3 linked regions of the Arabidopsis thaliana genome follow. The protein of the gene in region 1 purifies or fractionates together with the protein of each later gene. This does not show direct contact. Each region holds a gene or a part of one and is shown on either strand. Other genes may lie near its edges. The genes, in order: EIF4A1, ALPHA-SNAP1 and ALPHA-SNAP2.

The links.
Region 2: the proteins of EIF4A1 (region 1) and ALPHA-SNAP1 fractionate together in Arabidopsis thaliana (co-fractionation; one large-scale study listed by BioGRID). This does not show direct contact.
Region 3: the proteins of EIF4A1 (region 1) and ALPHA-SNAP2 fractionate together in Arabidopsis thaliana (co-fractionation; one large-scale study listed by BioGRID). This does not show direct contact.

The regions. Positions count from the first base shown.
Region 1 is NC_003074.8:4,590,509-4,598,395, forward strand, and holds EIF4A1 (eukaryotic translation initiation factor 4A1), read right to left. Parts: upstream 4,253-7,887; 5' UTR 3,750-4,252; coding exon 3,739-3,749; exon of another isoform or gene 3,622-3,738; coding exon 3,553-3,621; coding exon of another isoform or gene 3,549-3,552; intron 3,469-3,548; coding exon 3,365-3,468; intron 3,275-3,364; coding exon 2,844-3,274; intron 2,763-2,843; coding exon 2,197-2,762; coding exon of another isoform or gene 2,157-2,196; coding exon 2,078-2,156; 3' UTR 1,748-2,077; downstream 1-1,747. Other genes in the region: AT3G13900 (ATPase E1-E2 type family protein / haloacid dehalogenase-like hydrolase family protein), read left to right, coding at 1-173; AT3G13910 (hypothetical protein (DUF3511)), read right to left, coding at 176-225, 627-924; AT3G13930 (Dihydrolipoamide acetyltransferase, long form protein), read left to right, coding at 5,732-5,764, 6,153-6,246, 6,516-6,580, 6,677-6,762, 6,855-6,895, 7,077-7,132, 7,217-7,291, 7,375-7,467 and 1 more. UniProt on the Arabidopsis thaliana protein: ATP-dependent RNA helicase which is a subunit of the eIF4F complex involved in cap recognition and is required for mRNA binding to ribosome.
Region 2 is NC_003074.8:20,928,699-20,933,369, reverse strand, and holds ALPHA-SNAP1 (alpha-soluble NSF attachment protein 1), read right to left. Parts: upstream 2,814-4,671; coding exon 2,405-2,813; intron 2,111-2,404; coding exon 2,010-2,110; intron 1,560-2,009; coding exon 1,408-1,559; intron 1,387-1,407; exon of another isoform or gene 1,169-1,386; coding exon 1,018-1,168; intron 921-1,017; coding exon 873-920; intron 786-872; coding exon 501-785; downstream 1-500. Other genes in the region: AT3G56460 (GroES-like zinc-binding alcohol dehydrogenase family protein), read left to right, coding at 28-171, 246-341; ATG18D (autophagy 18 D-like protein), read right to left, coding at 4,573-4,663.
Region 3 is NC_003074.8:20,843,288-20,851,681, forward strand, and holds ALPHA-SNAP2 (alpha-soluble NSF attachment protein 2), read right to left. Parts: upstream 5,409-8,394; 5' UTR 5,070-5,408; coding exon 4,925-5,069; intron 4,473-4,924; coding exon 4,423-4,472; intron 4,337-4,422; coding exon 4,264-4,336; intron 4,169-4,263; coding exon 4,089-4,168; intron 3,858-4,088; coding exon 3,706-3,857; intron 3,476-3,705; coding exon 3,316-3,475; intron 3,219-3,315; coding exon 3,171-3,218; intron 3,083-3,170; coding exon 3,002-3,082; intron 2,913-3,001; coding exon 2,832-2,912; 3' UTR 2,387-2,831; downstream 1-2,386. Other genes in the region: CAN (Ca-2+ dependent nuclease), read left to right, coding at 1-86, 174-361, 467-523, 611-839, 934-1,032; AT3G56180 (LURP-one-like protein (DUF567)), read left to right, coding at 1,478-1,732, 1,810-2,040, 2,127-2,261; AT3G56200 (Transmembrane amino acid transporter family protein), read left to right, coding at 6,800-7,163, 7,268-7,420, 7,509-7,712, 7,810-8,275, 8,372-8,394.

The sequences.
Region 1 (7,887 bases):
AAAGATCAAAGGCTAGAGAGAAGACCAAGATTGGAGTGACAGCTCGTGTTGATGCCAAGATCCGCCAGCTGAGAGGAAGGCTCCAGAGAAAACACTCCATATTGAGCGTTATGAGCGGTCTGAGTGGCGTCTCAGCATCAACTGATACAACTTCCACCACACAACATAGTTGAACTCATCCAGTAAGTTTCCTCTTTCTCGAGAAAAAAAATCCATTAATTGGAACTGGAAGGAAGCAGACCAAAGAAGAAAATTGGGATTGAAGATAATAGGCAACAAAGAAAGGGACAGAGAATGTTGTATTGTGTGAGTTTGTGTGTGTATACTAAAGAAAATGAAAAGAAAGAAAGAATTTGAATAGAGTTTCTTATAAATAGATTCTTTTTCTTTCTGAAGAAAGAATTGGTTTTGATTGTAACTGAAGAAGTATGGTCATATTCACATGTAGATATGAAAACTGATTTCATTCATTATCTGTCTCATTCAAGTTCAAAGACTCTTCTTCTACATATAGTTGCAAGAGAAAGAAAATACTATCAATTTTTTGTTCGTTACAGATATATTTAACTCTCACAGCACAAAGAAGAGATTTTAAGAAAGTTGAGAGAAGGTATATCAAGAAATACCGATAATGTCTTTGAACCATTTGAAGCTCTTTCGAATGGATCCCTTCATCTTCTGTTCAACGGAATAAACTTTGTAGCCAGCGACTCTTCTCTTCCTCCGCGATTCTGGATCGCTGAAACTCCAGCTTCTTGACGCCGCACGATCCGCGTTTGGAACGCTTTTGCTTTTCTTTATCTTTAACTGGTAATCGTTCGTTTGACTCTGATCGCCGGCTGAATCGTCGAAGCTCCCGCTGTTGTAACCTTTCACTGCGTCTCGACGGTTTCCAGAAGCTGGCGGTTCGTAATAATTCGCCATGGCTGAGTTTGAGAGTTTTGGTCTGAACGAAGAAGAGTCGTCGTCGACTCTGTTTTTAATAGATTTTGATTGTCTTTTTAAAAGTTATAAAAGGAAATTTTAATAAAACAATATGTTTATTTTCCAAATAATTAAAGGTATCTTTTTTAGAAATCAATTTACAATTGTCATGTGGAGTTGGTCAAGGACCTACTTGTGTTTTTTTTCCCTCTTTTTTTCTTCAAACGAATTAAGTTATTCAACTTAGAAATAGAAAGAAAATGAATACGTAAAATTGGTATGAATCACTAGACTTTTCATGTGTTTTTCTTTTCTTATGATTTATAATGATGGTTAGGTTTGTGTGGATGTGATGATTTCCCAACTATTTCAAAATAGGCACGTGGATTTGTCCAAACCTGTAATTTCTCACAGGAAATAAAATTTCTTTCATAGTTTCGTGAAGAAACTTTGCAGAAGTTCAGACCAATAATTTCACTTTGATATTATAAAAGTGAAAAACCCTTGTCGGTGGTAGGCTTGACTCGGAATCATTGAATCCACATCCATAAAATTTTGAATATACTTCTTTTGAGAAAAAAAGGAAATAGTACATCAAAACTATTAGATATAATATTTATTTTCCATAAGGCTAGAAATATAAAGAAGATGCATGAAAAACGAAAGATAAAGCGAGTTCGTCGCTGTGTCCAAACAGACTTTTGATCAGTAGATTTGTCGTTAAAGCAGCGCCTGAGAGAGTGTGCCAATGCTTCATCCTTGATTGATGCAATGGAAAAAAAGTAACCCCGACTATTCAATTAATTTGTGAGCCAAGCATTTTAACCAGTTTGACATAAACATATAAAATAAGTTTAATGCTGAGATATAGATTTGAAAAAGCTTAAAACCAAACTTTGATGAAAAGATTTGATTGATACAAAAATCAAAGACAAACAACAAAGCCGAATATTAAAATAGTGAAGAAATAAATACTCCATATGACTTAAACTTAAAAATGGTCAAGAAGAGAGAGATATGTTCGTAGCTGGGAGAGAGAGGAGAGAACAACAACTAAGAAAATTTAAGAAATGTAAATCGCTGATAGACGACGGGTCAAAATCAGATCAAAGAGTGCCTTGCAAAACAAGAAAACCTTTCTTCTCCGGTGATACTAGTACGGCAGAGCAAACACAGCAACAGAACCGACTTCTTTTCTCCCTTCACAGCAGATCGGCCACGTTCGAAGGCAGCTCTTCGACAACCACATTGTAGAATTTCTGAATATCAAACAGCATCCTCTCATCATCACGGGTCACGAAATTGATCGCAACACCCTTTCTCCCGAACCTTCCACTTCTTCCGATACGGTGAAGGTAGTTCTCTGGCTGAGTTGGGAGATCGAAGTTGATAACCAGGGAGACTTGTTGGACATCAATACCACGAGCTAAGAGGTCAGTGGTGATGAGAACACGGGAGGAACCAGACCTGAACTCTCTCATGATGATGTCCCTGGTGTTCTGGTCCATGTCTCCGTGAGTTGCAGAGACTGTGTGGTCACGGCTTCTCATTTTGTCTGTGAGCCAATCAACCTTACGCCTGGTGTTCACGAAGATGACACTCTGAGTGATGGCAAGAGTCTCGTAGAGATCACAGAGTGTCTCGAGCTTCCACTCTTCTTTCTCAACGTTGACGTAGAACTGCTTGATACCTTCAAGGGTAAGCTCATCACGCTTCACCAAGATTCTCACTGGCTTGCTCATGAACTTCCTTGTGATCTCAAGAGCTTCTGGTGGCATTGTTGCGGAGAACACACCAACTTGGATCTTTGGTGGAAGAAGCTGGAATATGTCATAGATCTGAAAAAACCCAGAAACCAGTGAGATTCAAGTTAAACTATAACGAGAATGGAATTGAAACACTGAGAAATATTTGCATACCTGGTCCTTGAAACCACGGGAGAGCATTTCATCAGCTTCATCGAGAACAAACATCTTGATGTTGTCAGCACGAAGAGACTGCCTCTTCAACATGTCAAAGACACGCCCTGGAGTTCCAACAACAACATGGACACCAGCTTGGAGGATGCGCTGATCCTCACGGACACTGGTTCCACCAACACAGGCGTGAACCTTGACACCAAGGTAATCACCAAGGGCCCTCATGACCTTCTCAATTTGCTGAGCAAGCTCTCTAGTTGGAGCTAGAACCAAAGCCTGACACTGGATAAGGGAGAAGTCCAGCTGCTGCAAGACACCAGAGCAGAAAGTTGCTGTTTTCCCAGTACCAGACTGAGCCTGTTGAATCACATCAAGACCCTTACAGAAGGGGACGATTCCTCTTTGCTGAATAGCAGAAGGCTTCTCAAAACCTAAGAAAAAACAGAAGCACGCATGAGATAATGTTCTAATCTAAGACATAAATCACAAAAGATAGCTTTTTCAAGTTCCTACACACATACCATAAGCATAAATACCCCTGAGAAGGTTCTCTTGAAGACCCATGGCATCAAAGCTCTCATGAACATCATCATAGGATGTGAAGAACTCATCTTGTCCCTCAAGTCTGTATCAATACAGTACAATTAGCAGCTAGAGCATGCGGAGAGAACACACTCAAGAATGAAAAAACAGAAGTAAAAAGACTCACACTTCATTGAGTTTCTGGTCAAACTGACGTGCATCAAACTGTGTGCCTTCTGGTGCAGATCCTGCCATGCTACATAAAAAGAACAAAAACAATCAGATTTCATATCAAAAGGAAGAGAGACAACACCTATTTTGATATCGTTAATAATATGATTGCAAAGGAGGAAATGTGACAAGAAAGCCAAACTCGAAGTCCATAAAGAGAGGAAAACAAGCATTAATATCTGCCTCAGATGATGTGCGGAGAAAATGTATAAAGGCACATATGGTTATCTATTAAACATAGACACCACTCAACCTATTTCTCCAAATTACAAAAAAAAACATTCAATCAGACAAAACCAAGTGAGTGTTAAGACAAGAACATCTGAGCTTTGAAGACGATTCATTTCATTCTATTGAGAGACTAACCTAGCCGTAACAAAATCTACAAACCCATCAACAAATCTACAGATGTGTAGATCCTAAATTTAATAATCGTCATCATCAGCAGCTCAGAATCTAATAAAGAGAACAAAAACGAAAGCACTTCCACAGCAAAAAAAACGATCTTGAAGTAACGAAAAATCAAAACTTCCAAATCAACTCAACAAAGTTGAAACCAAATCTATCGGAAAACACAAAAAAACAAATCAGAACAATCCAAAAGTAAAGAAACAATCATGAATCGTAAAAGTTACATCGAGATAATAGATAGACAATCCGATAGGATGCGAACCTGGAGCAAAGTTGGTAAGCGAGAGTAAAGGGCTTTTTTCAGGGAGCTTGAATCTCCCAAACTCGGATCTGAACCGCGTTGAGAGAGAGAGAGCAAAGAGAAGAGCGAAGATTGCGAGAGACTGGTGGAATATCCGAAAGAGGCTGAGAGAAAACGCGTTACCTTGTTTATATACTCCGTCTTTAGGGTTTTCTCCTTTGGAAATCTTCTCCTTTTCTTTTTCGGATTTCCGGTTTTACCCCTTTATTCCCTTTCTTTTTACTCTTTTGGCTCGGACAAGGTTTTCCAACACTTAGCTCATTGTCTTAACTTGATTTTGGCAAAAATAAATAAACAAATATCTAGTGGGAAATTAGGAACATAAATTCTTCATTTATTTTGTGACTAGCAAAGAAAATATTCTTCATTTATTTTATTTTCTTTTCCAAAGCTTTCTTTCTCCTGCAACTTTTATTGCTTTTTGACGTTACAAAGCATTTTCCCGATTACAACGAGGATATTAGAAGAATAAAGTGACTGATAAGAACGTTTTATCTGAAAATGTCTTTACTTATTAACACATCTATCTCTCTATGTTGAATGTTTAATCATGTAATTGTTCCACAAGTGATATGAAGAATCCTTGAAACGAAGCAAAACACATTGAGTAAGAAGAAGGTAACTAGCTAGTATGAAGAAGCAGCAAGTTGCTATCTATCTTCAACAAAAAATGCTTTGATTTTAGCCTCAAGAGACTTTCTTAGAATCTGTTGCCATTGAAGAAAAAGCTGGAGAGGGCAAAACATAATCATGATGCTTAGGATAAGCAAAAAATATGTATTTAGCTTGTGTAGGTAGAGGAAGAGCTAGGAGTTTTTTGTGTGACAGGAATCGAGGGAAAACGATGGGCCAAAGATTAGGCCCATTAATAAGTTTGACTAATCCCTGCCGTTCATTAGATGCCTACGTAATCACTAACGCACCTGATGATCTCTGTCTTTTGGTGAGACGCAAAAGCTCAGAGAATAATAATAGGGCCCAATATAATAAAGTACAAACCGAAATTTGTGAAGCTTAATTAGTCGGTTTAAATACTTTTATATCGGTTATGGTAGAATTGGTGTTGGTACGATACAATCTGGTACATGTAAGGCAGCATTTTGCCATTTCTGAAAAACCTAAACACAAAACTATCTTCATCATCATCATCAAATCCCAGCTTTCTTCCAAGTGATCCTTCACTCTCTATACTGCGATTTACCGTTCTTCTGACTCTTGGTGAGTTCTAGATCGAATCCTATCTTCCATCCACATATTTACTGTTTCAAAATTGGATTGAGTACAAGTCAAATTCATCGATCTCGATCTCTGATATAGTTGCCGAGGGAAAAAGGAGAAACCCCCTAACAAACATTCCCACCATTTTTTTTGTTATTTGCAGTTGCGAATTCGGATCGGCTGACGCAGCTCCGATTGCACAACAATGGCTTCTCGTATCATCAATCATTCCAAAAAGGTTTCTCTTTCTCTATTTTTCATTTTTTTCTGTGGTTTGACTACCATTTTTGATCTTGTAAAACTGAGTTTATGCATTCGTTCTTATGTGTTTTGCTCTGCCAATCATTTTTTTCTGAACTGAGGTTCGTTTTCCGGGTTTGACTTAATCTAATCATGAATTTGGTATTTTTAATTTGATCATGGGCAATTCTGCATTTTGCTATTGAGAGCTTTAGTAACCTCCTTGTAATCTGAATTGTGATTAATGTAGTAGCTTCGCTTTATGATTCAATTGTGGTATTAGCTATTCATTTTATTAGTACAAGAAGACTCTACTTTTACAGCAGAGTAATTGTATGTTGCTCTTTGTAAACACTATTTTGACGATTGTTGTGTTATCTGACCAGTTGAAACATGTTTCCGCTTTACTGCGGCGTGACCATGCTGTGGCAGTCCGCTGTTTCTCCAACAGTACCCACCCCTCTCTCGTTGGAAGAGAAGGTAATCCAGTCAGCTTTCTTAGTGTCCTCTTCATTGCTATCCTTAAGTTCATTTTATGTAGAAATGTGTGGTGGTTTCTTTTATTTGATACGGTAACAAGCACCACACAGTACTCTGGGATGAATAGTCCAAGTTTGACTTTCACATCGTTTTCAACATGAAGAACATAACAACGTTCCAACTTTAATTAATTGAAAGTTGGTATGTTTTGAGTATATATTATGCTTCTCGCTTAAGCATTTATTTTTCTATTTTTATTTGGTCTTCAGATATCTTCAAGGCCCGCCTGAATTATTCCTCTGTAGAGAGAATTTCAAAATGTGGTACTGGCAATGTAAGTCCCTGCTGTTCAGTTTCCTTTCTCGTCTTTGCTTTGTCACGTAATCGTCTGTGTTTTTTTGGTCGTAATGTCATTAGCTGCATTATATAGGTAACAATGCTTAGTGGTATTTCAACAACGAGCACAAAACTAAGCAGCCCAATGGCAGGACCAAAACTATTTAAAGAATTTATAAGGTATGTAATCCATTTACCGATGAGAATACAACTTGCTACCTTCCTGTATGAATACTTCTATCCTAACTGTAAGCTTCTTTTCTTGCTTTTAGCTCCCAGATGCGATCAGTGAGAGGATTTTCATCCAGTTCAGGTATTTAGTTCTTTATTGTAACTTCCCGCTTGTTCTAACATATATTTTCACTTGAATTGTACTTTTTTTTGTGAGCATCTGACTTGGTTTTTGTGCCTTTTGCGGCCATCATATTTCTGTCACTGTGTATATGCAGCATACATGGTTTGTTTTACTGATAACTTTTTAAAATATGTTTCAGATCTTCCTCCTCATCAAGAGATTGGAATGCCTTCTCTTTCGCCAACAATGACTGAGGCATGTACCTCTGAATACCTCTTACGAAAATTAACATGGTTTATTGTTTTATCATTCTACTAAAGATATCTGTTGAAACTTCAGGGTAACATTGCCAGGTGGCTGAAGAAAGAAGGTGATAAAGTTGCTCCTGGTGAAGTGCTTTGTGAAGTTGAAACTGTAATGATAATCCTGATTGAATCTCTTCCTGTATTGATTCTTATGCCAGGAATAAAACACTTATCTCAATCTTAATATTTTAGGACAAAGCAACAGTCGAAATGGAATGCATGGAAGAGGGTTTTCTCGCCAAGATAGTAAAGGAGGAGGGGGCAAAAGAAATTCAAGTTGGGGAGGTATGAGAGTTTCTGACTTTTGGAGACTTGTTAATTATAATGGGTTCTCATGAAGTATTTGATTGTGAGCCCTATGCTCCCTTTAGTTGAAGATCAATGAATATTCAATAAAAATGACAAAGATCTTTATCTTCATTTGTAGAATCACATATAAATGGTCCCTTTTTTTTTTGTCCAACTAGGTGATTGCTATCACAGTTGAAGATGAAGATGATATTCAAAAGTTTAAAGATTACACACCCTCATCCGATACTGGTCCCGCTGCGCCTGAAGCAAAACCAGCTCCTTCCCTACCAAAGGAAGAGAAGGTAGAGAAGCCAGCCAGTGCTCCTGAAGCCAAGATCTCTAAGCCAAGCTCAGCTCCTTCAGAAGATCGTATTTTTGCCAGTCCTCTTGCAAGAAAGTTGGCTGAAGATAATA
Region 2 (4,671 bases), about 16 Mb from region 1:
ATAAGTTGTAGTAACCAATTGGTGCAGAACTGGACGGTTCATGGTCTTTACTGGGGTAGCTACAGGATCCATCAGCCCAATGTCCTTGAAGATTCCATCAAAGAGTTATTGTCATGGCTTTCCCGAGGATTGATCACTATTCACATCTCTCATACCTATAGCCTCTCCCAGGTGAAAACATTAACTCATCTTCATGACATCAAAACTCAAAACATGTAATTAAACACTTACCGTTTTGATTACAGGCCAATCTTGCATTCGGGGACCTCAAAGACAGGAAGGCAATTGGAAAAGTGATGATTGCTCTCGACCACAAGACTGCCCTGTCTTCAAAACTATAGACTCTTTATGGCCGTAGGAGAAAACAGCTTATGTATTCTAGAAATAAGGTTATTGCAATGGCCATGTAAGCTGAACCATCTTGCATTTATATCTGGCATATAATCCACATTCTGATTTGAAATTTCAATAAACGTTATCGAATTGCAGTTTGATTTTCTCTAGAAATTAGTGTAGTTATAAATCCTTTTTGTATATACATTGTTCCAATCAAGAATACATTTTCCTTCAATCAAGTAAAGCTTGCATCCTCCTCCAGCTCCCTGGCCTTGAACTTCTCTTTTACCCTCAACAACATTGTTGTCATGATCAAGAACCAGACAGAGTTTACATCCAAATAGTTGCATGTGGTTTACTGCCCATACCAGTGGACTCACGCTATCAATTTCCTTGGAAACGTCTGTGAACTTTGCAATGTCTTCTTCATCGATAGCAGAAGCAAGGTCCTGTTCATGAGAATAAATGTACAACACTTAACATACTTTATGTAAGCTACTCCCCAATTTCTTACAACACCAGAGTTTAAACTTTACCGCTAAGAACTTGCATTCCCGTGTTCCTGAAAAAGTCGGATCCAGATCCTGCAAGAAAGTACAAGTTAGAACACATGTCATAGTTACTCAAAGGACCACGCCAGGATGCTGATGTTAAGGCTGTTTGCTGTGGAAGAAGAAGAACCTGATATTTCTCCAGTGCATTAGTGATGGAAACAACATCAGCTTTGCATAAGTGGCACATGCCAGCAGTGAGAAGATGGCCTTTAACTCCATACTTAAGCAACTTATTGTTGAGTGAATGGCGTGCCTGTGTCTTCATAAATCTGGATTGCCTTCTCATACCTATCAAAGATACAACAGCAAGCCTATTATCAATCAATCAATCCGCCCCAAAGTAGAGAAGGGGCTATAATCCATGTGCTCATGTGTAGAGAACAACAACATTATTCCAAACAATGTCAAATTTGTGGTTTGAAAATTCGATTTTAACATGGTCCCATCTCAGTACTGTAAGTACGTCAATACCAGAGGATGAGAAAGCCAAAAAAAGGTCAGGTGCCGAAAATCTTACTGCTCTAGCTGGGAAGCATATTGTGCAACCTTTAGATTGCACTGGTTTGCAGAGGTGGTCACTTCTTCTATTTGAAAGAATTCAGCTGCCGTTTCATAGTAAGCAATAGCTTGCTCGAACATCTCATCAGATTCATAATACTCAGCAATTTCCTGTCAAAAGTAAATGACAATGTACACATTAGTACAAATACAGAAAGTCAGTACCAAGCTTACTATATATACTGTAGAAAAAAAGAAACAAATCCGACAGGATCCAACATGCATAAACAACACGAACCATGGAGAAGATGCTGAAGAAGTGCCTCCCCCTCAATAAAACTATCTTCTCACTATCCGTACTAAAAGAGTAACAGTATCTAATTCATACTCAAAAGAGACATGTAGTACATTGTAATATCTTGCAGCCATGTTGAGCCTTACTATCTATCTCACAAAATATATTCGCCGCTCTCTCTAGACAAGATGCAGCCTCTGCATATAATAAGGTCATGGTTATATTTGGACGCGATAAACATGCATAGCGAAAGGAAAACACACAAGAGTTGATAATCAGTCCTGTAGTACATATATGTCAATTAAAATCTAAAAAGCTGTTGCTACATGATCCATACATTCGTCCATTATCATATATGTGTTTGCCAAAGAATTTGCCTTTAAGTGACAATCGGCAAGTTTTAGATAAGCTATTCCAGCTTGATCCCCTGAAGAATCACAAATCAAACACATAAGCAAGAAGATACTTATCAATGACTTTACTATAAGGCCAAAAACCATCATTATCGAGTAATCTAAATGTTGAGTATCCAATTTATAATTCCCACATATCAAAGAGGCCTAAAATCAACTTCTCACAACACCATGGAAGGATCACCACAATTGCTAAACCAAAGATCAATCAAAAGTCTCAAGTTTCACCTTTTCTTCCTCATCATCATCACAAATCAATCAGATGAAACAAAAATCAAGGCCGGCTGATTATTATTTATGGAAATTACATGATTTGGCAAGCTTATAGGAATCACGTGCTTTCTCGAGCAGATCAGCAGCATCCTCGTACTTAGTGTCGAATCTTCTCCGTCTGTTAAGCTTCTTCTCAGCTTTCTTCTGAAAGTAGTAGCAACTGCTTGAAGAAGAGAAAGTGATATCAAACAACAACAAGAGTTGGCGGCGAGCGATGGTAGCTGAAGCGGCTCGCGTGATGGTTCTCTGTTTTGAGTATTGCAGAGTTCCGATGAATGAGAGATGGGCTTCGTGTCTCCTTTTGGGCCTGAAACAGCTGCAGTGTTGTTGTGAGAGATTGAAGTCTCTGCTTGAGTTGGAGACTCTTGTTGTTTGATATCTTATCAAGTTCCTCAGCTCTATGAAAAGTGGGTAAAAAAAACCCTCACCTTTTACAAAAAACATGTACAAAACCCTCAACTTTTTTGGTGGGTTTTTAAACCCTTCCCTTTTTTTCTTTGATAACTCAATGCCCAGACCACACAGTGATCTAACTAGTCTACTGGGGCTAAGCCCGCGACCAGAGATTTTTAAGCATCCATTTAAGGGATTTTTTGGTGGGTTTTTAAACCCTTCCCTTTTAAAAAATAATAAAATAACACTTACTATTATTAAACCAACTAAACTATTATATTAAAACATAAAATAAAACAAGTTAGTTTGTAATTTATACTTTCCAAATTGGAGTTTTTGATATTTTTTCAGAATTTAGTTGTTGTTTTTTGACGATATAAAAAAATAAGTTTCAATTAGAATTTGTTATGTAAACTAAAATCAATTTATAGCTTAGCACATTTTATTTTATTTTACTTCATATGTTTTCTAACTTTTGAAGTTTTGGATTTAAAATGAAGAAAATTATTAACATAATTTTGTTCTAAAGTTGTGTGACTGAACAAAAAAAAAATTCTTAATATTTCTTTTCTTCTTGAACATATAAAACAAAGGTTTCGCATTACCAAAAAATTTCAGAATAAGAATTATTCAGCCTATCTTATCGTATTTCCAAAAAAGATCTCGAGAAGATCTCGGAGAATCTTAACAACAAATGAAAAGAAAATATATTATCATTATTTTGTGCAAAAGATTGCACTCCTCCTTCCTTTCCATCTTTATTACCTGATGCGTAAAGATATCTAATGGAAGAAGAGCTCTCGCCTGCTTCTATAAGACCTGTTTTACTAACAGGACAGTTTAGTATTTCAAGATGTTTTAATTCTTTGCATCCTTTACCAATTGCTTGGAGACCGTGATCCGTAACATTGGTAGCATACTCTAGTGTTATTTCAACAAATCTATATACAGAACAAGCACATGTATCACGGTCAGTTTATGTGCAACATCAAATATTCAATTAGAAATTTTTGATAAAACAAAATTGAAAATTCTCGTAAATGACGTAAAAGAAAAAAGAATAATAATGCAATCAAAACTAGCATTTACAAGCAAAAATTTCTAAAAGAATAATAATATAATTTGTGTTAATCACACCATAGAAAGTATTTTGAGCAAGGGGAATTAATAAAATCAATGCATCATTAAAATTGCTTAAATTTAATGCATCATTAACTATTATGTAAAAAAAAACCACATAAAATTTTTAATATATGTAAATTTTATATAAAAAAAAAAAGATTGCTTAAACCACAAGCTAGCGACTTGTGAGTTTAACAAAAAGTCGTAAAATCCAATGGAATCTGGTGACGACAAGGCACCTAATACTTTTTTTTTTTTTTTAACTCTGGCACCTAATACTTTTAAAGCATCTCCATTGCATAATTTTCTATATTGTCTCTATAAAATTAAAGTTACTAAATATTAATAATTAAATGTATAAGTCTTTAAATTAAATGGAGAAATCCGGTTCTGTAACCTTGAAATGACCATGTAAGCTGAACCATCTTGCATTTGTTATATCTGTCCTATAATCAACATTCTGATTTGAAATTTTAATAAACGTAATCGAATTGCAGTTTGATTCTCTGTAGAAATTAGTGTTATAACCAAAAAAAAATCCTTTTTGTATATACATTGTTCCAATCAAGAATACATTTTCCTTCAATCAAGTAAAGCTTGGAAGAATAAAATCGTATGCGGTTTCACCAAATCTATATACAGAGCCAATTGTTATGTACATAAAACTCAAACCAAGCACGTGGTCTGACTATCTCGGGCTATCTTGCTTCAGAAAATGGAAATGTTCAAGCTGAGTCATCTCTCCTCCGTTCACTGGATCGAAATTGCACCTGTAGAAACTGTAAGG
Region 3 (8,394 bases), about 16 Mb from region 1:
CTTCACCTCACAATCTCGTTGAGGTCCCTACGGAAGCTCCTGTGTCTTTACCTAAAGGAGTTCGGTTTGAGCTTAACACGCTTCCGGTTAGAAAACTTACGAATCTTTAAAAGGTTTGGGATATGATGGTAATGTTGTTGCTGCTGATCAAGAAATTTTCTAAATGAAATAAGGTGGATACAAAATCTGTGGCAGATGGTGATACTGTTACTGTGTATGTTAGTAGCAAAGACCCGCTTGTGTCATCTTCTCTTCCTAAGGACGTGAGTCTTGCAGCGGTTAAAAGAGCCAAAGCGCGTGAGAAGAAGAATTATACTGAAGCAGATGCACTTCACAAGACGATCATAGCTTCTGGTTACAGGTTTGTGTTTTATTGATATACTTCACAAGTTGATTATAAAGTCAAATCAAAATTGATCTACGAAATTCATAATTTTTCCTAACCTTTTTTTCATGTTATACTTAGGATGATAAGTTTTCAGAATGAGGAAGTGCTTGCTAAAAAGTTCAGAATTAGACTAAGGTAAAACACTCTTCCACTCTAGAGAGAACCTCATATTCAATCAAAAGCTATATGTAGAGTTAAAAATTTGGAATGAAAATGAATCAGCGGAATAGATTCACCGGAGAGCAAAATGCCGTATGGAAAAGAGGCGCATGATGAGCTACTCAAGATGGTTGAAGGGAAATGCTTGAAGGTGTTAGTATATACAGAGGATCGTTATGGAAGATGTGTAGGAGATATATACTGCAATGGAAAATTTGTACAGGAAGTAATGCTAAAGAAAGGTCTTGCTTGGCATTATGTAGCCTATGACAAGCGTGCAGAGCTCGCAAAGGCAAGCTTTTATAAACCTTTGTGCTTTTCATTTACAATTTTCTTTGATTATTCCTTCTGATGTTTAACGGTTTGTTTTGGTGTTTTGAATTCAGTGGGAAAATGAGGCTAGGCAAAAGCGCGTTGGCTTGTGGGCATCTTCTAATCCAGAGAAGCCATGGGAGTGGAGAAAGAACAAACGTGGAGGCAATTAATGATAACAAAACCAATAAAAACAACAATACAATACTATTCGATTATATGATTATTGTGAATTAAAGAACTTGTGATCTGTTGTTGTAATTGTAAGAGAAGTATGTATATGTTTTATGTATTGACAAGTATTTTTTTGGCAATAGAGAATTTCTCTTTGAACCTTGAGACAGAAGTTAGCTTAGTTGTTTCGTTTCTAAATATAAGGGTACATAGTTTATTTTTGGGGTTTAACAATCTTTGGTTGAGAATAAAAGTCTGAAAAAGTAAAAACCAATCTTACAATTTCAAATTTGTTTTTAGTTGATATATTGTTTTAAGAAAATGTGAAGAGGTGTTTTTGATAATTCTTCATCATCAGGAGGATTATCAAGGGCTCTAAATAAAGAGCCTTTCATAGTCTTTTGCAATCTTCTTCTTCGTCTTCTTCTTGAACTTTATTCGAAAATGCCGAAGAATAAAAAAACAGAATGGCAAGTAGGAGATCCCGCGATAAGCGTAGTGAGCGATCAATTCTGTAATCCATACCCAATGGATCTTTTGGTGAAGAGAAAAGTTCAGAATTTTTCTAAAGATTATTATGAAGTGTTTGATCCAAGTGGGAATCTGCTCCTACAAATTGATGGACAAGCTTGGGGGTTTAACCGTAAAAGAGTTATGCGTGATCCAGCCGGTTTCACAATCCTCTCAATGCGTCAAAAGGTTACAAAACATTTTAATTTTTCAACAAACATACATATAAAAATGACTCTTTCTTGAAATGGTGTATGATTGTTTAGGGACTTGCGTTGAAGAACAAGTGGGAAGTGCATGGAGGAGAGAGCAAAGAGAGAGAAGACTTGCTCTTCACGGTACAACAATCTCAAGCGGTTTCACTGAAAACATCCGTGGATGTTTTCTTGCCGGAGAACAACAATGTCAAGAAGACAAACACTTGTGATTTTCATGCTTCAGGAGGATACTCCAATATCTCATTCAAAGTTTTCAAAGCGGATGCTCTCATCGCCGGGGTAGGGGTAAAAGTTAAAAACCCATACTTATTAAGAAATTTGCAATTTTTATACATTGGTGAAGGATTGAAATCCTTATATTGCAGGTAACACATAAGTTTACATGGGGAAGTTTCTGCAAAGGGAAATATAACTTTAAGGTGAGAGTAAATCCAGAGGTTGATTATGCTTTTATCATTGCTTTGCTTGTCATGGTCGATGACAACGAGAATTGGTGTTAGTATATTGTCTGTCCTCAATCTCTTTGTTTAGTGGTTCCTTTCACAATTTATTGGTGTATATGTGTTCATTTCTCAAGATATATGTATGTAAGAATATTTTTTCCATGTAATGTGCAATCTTGCTGGCCCAAATGTTTATTTTTCATAAAAGCGTGCAATCAAAGATATATAGAGCAAGAAAACATGAATCAAAACACTACAAATTGTCGTTAACAGGAAGAAAAAGCACACGTTTATTAGATAGATGTAGACGTAAAAGCAAACAAATAATCGAGACATGATCCTCTCGATGCATCAAATAATCGCTGAACGAAGAAGACTCTCCACAGATGTTTAACCAATATAAAAAAAACTCCAGACTTGAGTAGTTCCCATAAATGAAGTGACGAGACGCAGAGAACAATTGTAGACGTCGATACCAAACAAACCCAATTTGACCAAACCTCTTAAGAAACTTTAAAACTCAAAACCAGACACAATAAAATCAAAGAAGAGTCGGACATGAAGTAACGGACATAGTGACAATACAACCCGGGAATGAATAAAAAGCAACGCTCTGGATAAATATGTCTATGTAAGGTCATCCTCCTCTAGCTCCTTGGCCTTGAGCTTCTCCTTCACCCTCAACAACATGGTTGTCTTCCATGAATCCTGCATTAACACCAATTCCATGATCAAGAACCAGGTAGAGTTAAAGAGAGATTTTATTCAAATAGCTGTATATGGTTTACAGCCCATACCAGTGGAGTCATGCTATCAAACTCCTTGACAACATCTGTGAACTTTGCGATGTCTTCTTCATCGATAGCAGAAGCAAGGTCCTGTTCATATGAATAAATGTACAAAACTTAACATACTTTATGTAAGCTGCTCCACAACTTCTTGAAAAAACGGAAGTTTAAACTTTACCGCTAAGAACTTGCATTCCCGTGTTCCAGTAAAAGTTGGATCCAGATCCTGCAAGAAAGTAGAAGTTAGAAAACATGTCATAGTTGCTCAAAGGACCACACCAGAATGTTTATGTTACGGGTGTTTGTTGTGGAAGAAGAAGAACCTGATACTTCTCCAGAGCGTTAGTGATGGAAACAACATCGGCTTTGCATAAGTGGCACATGCCAGCAGTGAGAAGATGGCCCTTAACTCCATACTTGAGCAAGTTATTGTTGAGTGAATGGCGTGCTATGTCTTCATAAATCTTGATTGCCTTCTCATACCTACCAAAGATACAACAACAAGCCTATTATCAATCAATCGGTCCCAAAGTAGAGAAAAGGCTATAATTGCTGTGCTCATGCATACTGCATAGAGAACATCACAATTCCATACAATGACAAGTTTGTGGATTGACAATTCGATTTTAACAGGGTTCCATCTGAGTACTATAAGCACTTCAATGCTAAGGGATGAGAAAGCAAAAAGAAAGGTAATGTGCCGAAAATCTTACTGCTCCAGCTGGGCGGCATATTGCGCAACCTTTAGATTGCACTGGTTTGCAGAAGTGGTCACTTCTTCATTCTGAAAGAATTCAGCTGCCTTTTCAAAGTAAGCAATAGCCTGCTCGAACTTCTGATCAGATTCATAATACTCAGCAATTTCCTGTCAAAAGTAAAAAACCATTAATGTACAAATTAGTCCAAATACAGCAAGTCAGCACCATGCTTACTTTAGTTTAGAAAAGGAAAAAGACAATCTGAATCCGACTGAACATGCATAAAGAAACAGGAACCATGGAGGAAATACAGAAGAAGTGCCCCAATAAAACTATCTTCTCAGTATCCGTACTAAAAGAATAATATCTAATTCATGCTCAAAAGAGACAAGTGGTACCTTGTAATATCTTGCAGCCATGTTGAGCCTTCCTATCTCACAAAATATATTCACCGCTCGCTCTAGGCAAGACGCAGCCTCTGCATATAATATTAGGACGCATGAAAACACATAAGAATTCATAATCACTCTTGCATTACAGAGATGACAATTACAAAAGTAGCTTTATACATACCATTAGTGTCAACTTTCTTGTAGCATTTAGCAGCCTCAGCATAGGCGTTAGCAGCATCATGTTTGCTATCTGACTGCAGATGCAATCATGCAAATCAATGTTATCAAACAATCCACACATTAGTCCAGTATCATATATATGTGTTGCCAAAGAATTAACCTTTAAGTGACAGTCGGCAAGTTTTAGATAAGCTTTTCCAGCTTGATCCCCTGAACAATCACAAATGCAACACATAAGTAAGAAGATAGCGTTGGAGAATTAAACAAATATCAGAAAAGAACATGAAACCTATTAAACTCAGCCAAATAGAACCCAAATTAGGTACTATAATTGTGCCACTTATCAATGACTTGCTAGAAGGCCAGAAACCAATATCAAGGAATCAGAATGATGAATCTCCGATTTAAAATGTTTTCGTATGAAATTATCAACCATAAATTTCTTACAGATCAAAATAGACCTAATATAAACCCAGATACTAATTCTACTTCTCACATGACCATAGACAAATCACCGCAACTGATAAACCTAAGATCAAACGTTTCAAATTTCACCTTTTTTTTCTTCCTCATCATCACAAAGAACAACAATAAAAAAAAACACGACACCAATCCGATGAAACAATAATCAAAAGCAAAGAAATTTTATTTATGGAAATTACATGATTTGGCGAGCTTATAGGAATTAGCTGCTTTTTCGAGCAGATCAGCAGCATCCTCGTACTTAGATCCGAATATTCCCCATCCATTGAGCTTTTTCTCAGCTTTCTTCTCGAATTCCTCAGCTCTCACCAGATGATCCCCCATTCCTTTTTTTTCCCCGAAACTCTGACTTGAAATTTGATCGTGTACTTCTTTACCTCCACAGACTCCGATTGCTTCTCTTTTCTTCGTCGAGAGAAATTGCTTTCGATTTGGATTATTCGCTGCGATGAAAGAGAGAGAGACGAGAATCGATCGAGAGCGAAAAATCAGAGACACGCTTCGATAGGGGAAAAGATTTTTCAACCGACTAAAGTGGGCCAAATTTGTCTATTTAAAATATGGGCTTTGTTTTGAAAAGCCCAAGTTAGCCCAATCAAAAGTTTTTCCGTACTTTGTTATTGGGTCGCTTTAACCAAGCTTAGAAAATATGGGATCAGGTTTATCAGTTGGGATTGAAGAAAAGCTTACATGAATTATCAAGTAAAACGATTTCCTGTTATATCTGCTCGTCCTTCTACATTCTTCATTAGCCATTATTATAGTTCTCAAATCACGACAAATATTGCTGACAGTTTCCACTAAACAAACCTATGTTCCAAAATGCACAAACTGGTAAAAACCTAGTATGTTTTAATATCAAACACATGAGTAACAACAATATCGGTTTTAATATCAAACACATGAATAACAACAATGGCTAAATAACAACCGTTACAAATCTATGAAATGTTCAATTTTTTAGCAAATCATTTCATGGGTAATCGGTAATTTTTTTGTCTTTTGTGAGTTGCAGAGGTAATCTTCTGTTGTTGGGCTTCTCGACATGTTGAATGGTATTGGGCTTAGTGTCTTGGCCCATAGCATTCTGTTTGGGAGACTCTGAGCTGAGCAGAGAGTTTGACCCAAGCTCTGTTGTTGTTGACTGAAGCTTCTCCTTTACACACAGAGATGATCTAAAATAAACTGTAACTTTGCAACGAGGGATTTCTGCGGCAATATTAATGTTGCTATCAGTCACATTCTATAATGTTAACTGAGTAACTTCAATATGATTCATATGAAATGATTAAATAAAAATAACTTTAGAAGACAGTGTTTAATTATTCTTATATTGTTTCGTTTATCACGTTTTCAATTATTCATTCGACATTCCGCATTCGCTGCCCTCTCGTTTTCTTGATGAAAAGTCTCGAACCGTCTGCTCTAAAGTTAGTTTATTACACGTGAGCCATCTTTGAGGCCGCCAATGATATGATTATATATTGGATTTTATTATATCCACGAAAATTTTAAATTATTTAGGAGTTTTTTTCTTTTTTGGACAACTTATATGAGATGAGAAGCGATGATACACATTTGGCCACTTTTTCGTCTAGATACATTCTTCGTGAAGAAATCCAAGTGCACACATTCATTAGTGTTGGACGGACCCATTTTATTTTGGATTTTTTTGTATAATTCTTTGGGGTTTTTTTGTTAATAATTCACTTCTGTCTATAATATGATTATGATTGTTCATCATATTTTAGCTGTAATTTCCTCTCTTGAACAAAATTATTATTTTCGTGATGTTTTTAAGTACGTGACGAAAGATCATTTGGTGATCTCACTGACATGATTTGCCCAGCCTGTCAGGTTTACCTATGGTCAAATATCATTTTCTCGATTTTGCCCCAAACGGTCAAGGCATATATCCCCAATCTTCAAAGGGTATTTATGTACTTTTCGCTATTAACCGTGTGGCTATATGAAGCCGATTCCTCATAACAACTACAAAAAAGGAAAGCTTCTTCCCGCCGGCAAATTCTTACGTTTCTCCGGCGGTTAGAAAAATGACACCACAGATCAAAACTCATCTCTTGCCGAAGCAAGAACCTTCTTCGTCTGAGAACCATGGATCATCAACCTCCGGCATCGTTTTCAACGTGTCAACGAGTATAATCGGAGCCGGAATAATGTCGATGCCGGCGGCGTTTAAAGTTCTTGGAATAGTTCCAGCGTTTTTGATTATCACGATCATAGCTTGGCTTTCCACAATTTCCGTTGGATTTCTGATGAAATCAACTCTCGCCGGAGAATCAACTACTTACGCCGGAGTTATGAAAGAGTCGTTTGGTAAAACAGGATCCATCGCTGTACAGATTGCTACGATGGTTGCTACTTTTGGTTGTATGATTATATTTTCGATTATTATAGGTAAAGTAATTTGATCTAATCATCTAAGTGTAGAGGTCTCAGCTACTATTTGAGCTTAAGAACAGATTGGCTGAGTTTGGATTTGTATGTGTTTACTCTCTCAGGAGATGTGCTTTCTGGTAATGAAAATGGTGGTCCTGAACATATTGGAGTTTTGCAAGAATGGTTTGGTTCTTACTGGTGGAACACGAGAATCTTCGCTTTGTTATTTGTCTACGGCTTTGTCTTGCTTCCATTGGTCCTGCGTAGACGAGTCGGTAAGTTTCTCTCTATAATCTTGTGTTCTCAAAATTATGGATATCTATGAGATTGTTGATGATTTTCTTTTTGTTAATGGTTATGTAGAAAGACTGGCAATTAGTTCCGCTGTATCGTTTCTTCTTGCGGTTCTATTTGTTGTCATAAGCTCGGTGCTGGCGATTTCCGCGCTGGTGAATGGACAAACGAAGAATCCAAGACTGTTTCCGGAGTTGAGCAATGGAGGATCGTTCTGGCAACTCTTCACAGCTTCCCCTGTTATAGTTACAGCCTTCACGTTTCACTTCAATGGTAAGAACCCATCTCTTTCACCATATTGGTAACTGTTTCTCTGTTTTCTCTGTTTTTTCATGTTTCTGAGTTTGGTGTTGTGATTCAAAATGTGCAGTTCATCCAATTGGATTCGAGCTCAAAGATCCATTACAAGTGATCCCAGCAACTAAGATCTCTGTCATCTTGTGTGCTGCTATCTACTTCGCAACTGGACTCTTTGGTTACCTTCTCTTTGGAGATGCAACTATGTCGGATATTCTAGTGAACTTTGACCAGAGCTCTGGTTCTTCCATTGGTTCTCTTCTCAACGACATTGTCAGACTCAGCTACGTGCTTCACCTCATGCTGGTCTTTCCTCTCCTGAACTTCTCATTGAGAGCAAATCTCGACGAACTCTTGTACCCCAAGAAGCCGTCCTTGGAAAAAGACACAAAAAGATTCATCGGACTCACTCTGGCTCTACTGATTTGCTGTTTCTTGTCTGCAATCGCTGTACCAGACATTTGGTACTTCTTTCAGTTCATGGGATCAACCATCACAGTCTCCATAGCATTCATATTTCCAGCCGCCATTGTTCTAAGGTAGATATGCTTTGTTTCCTTTACTATGTACTTTATCAGTTGCTTCAAACTTCCTATAAAAATCTTACCAACTGCTTTCTGATTCTGAAATGGCAGGAATATCCATGGTGTATCAACCT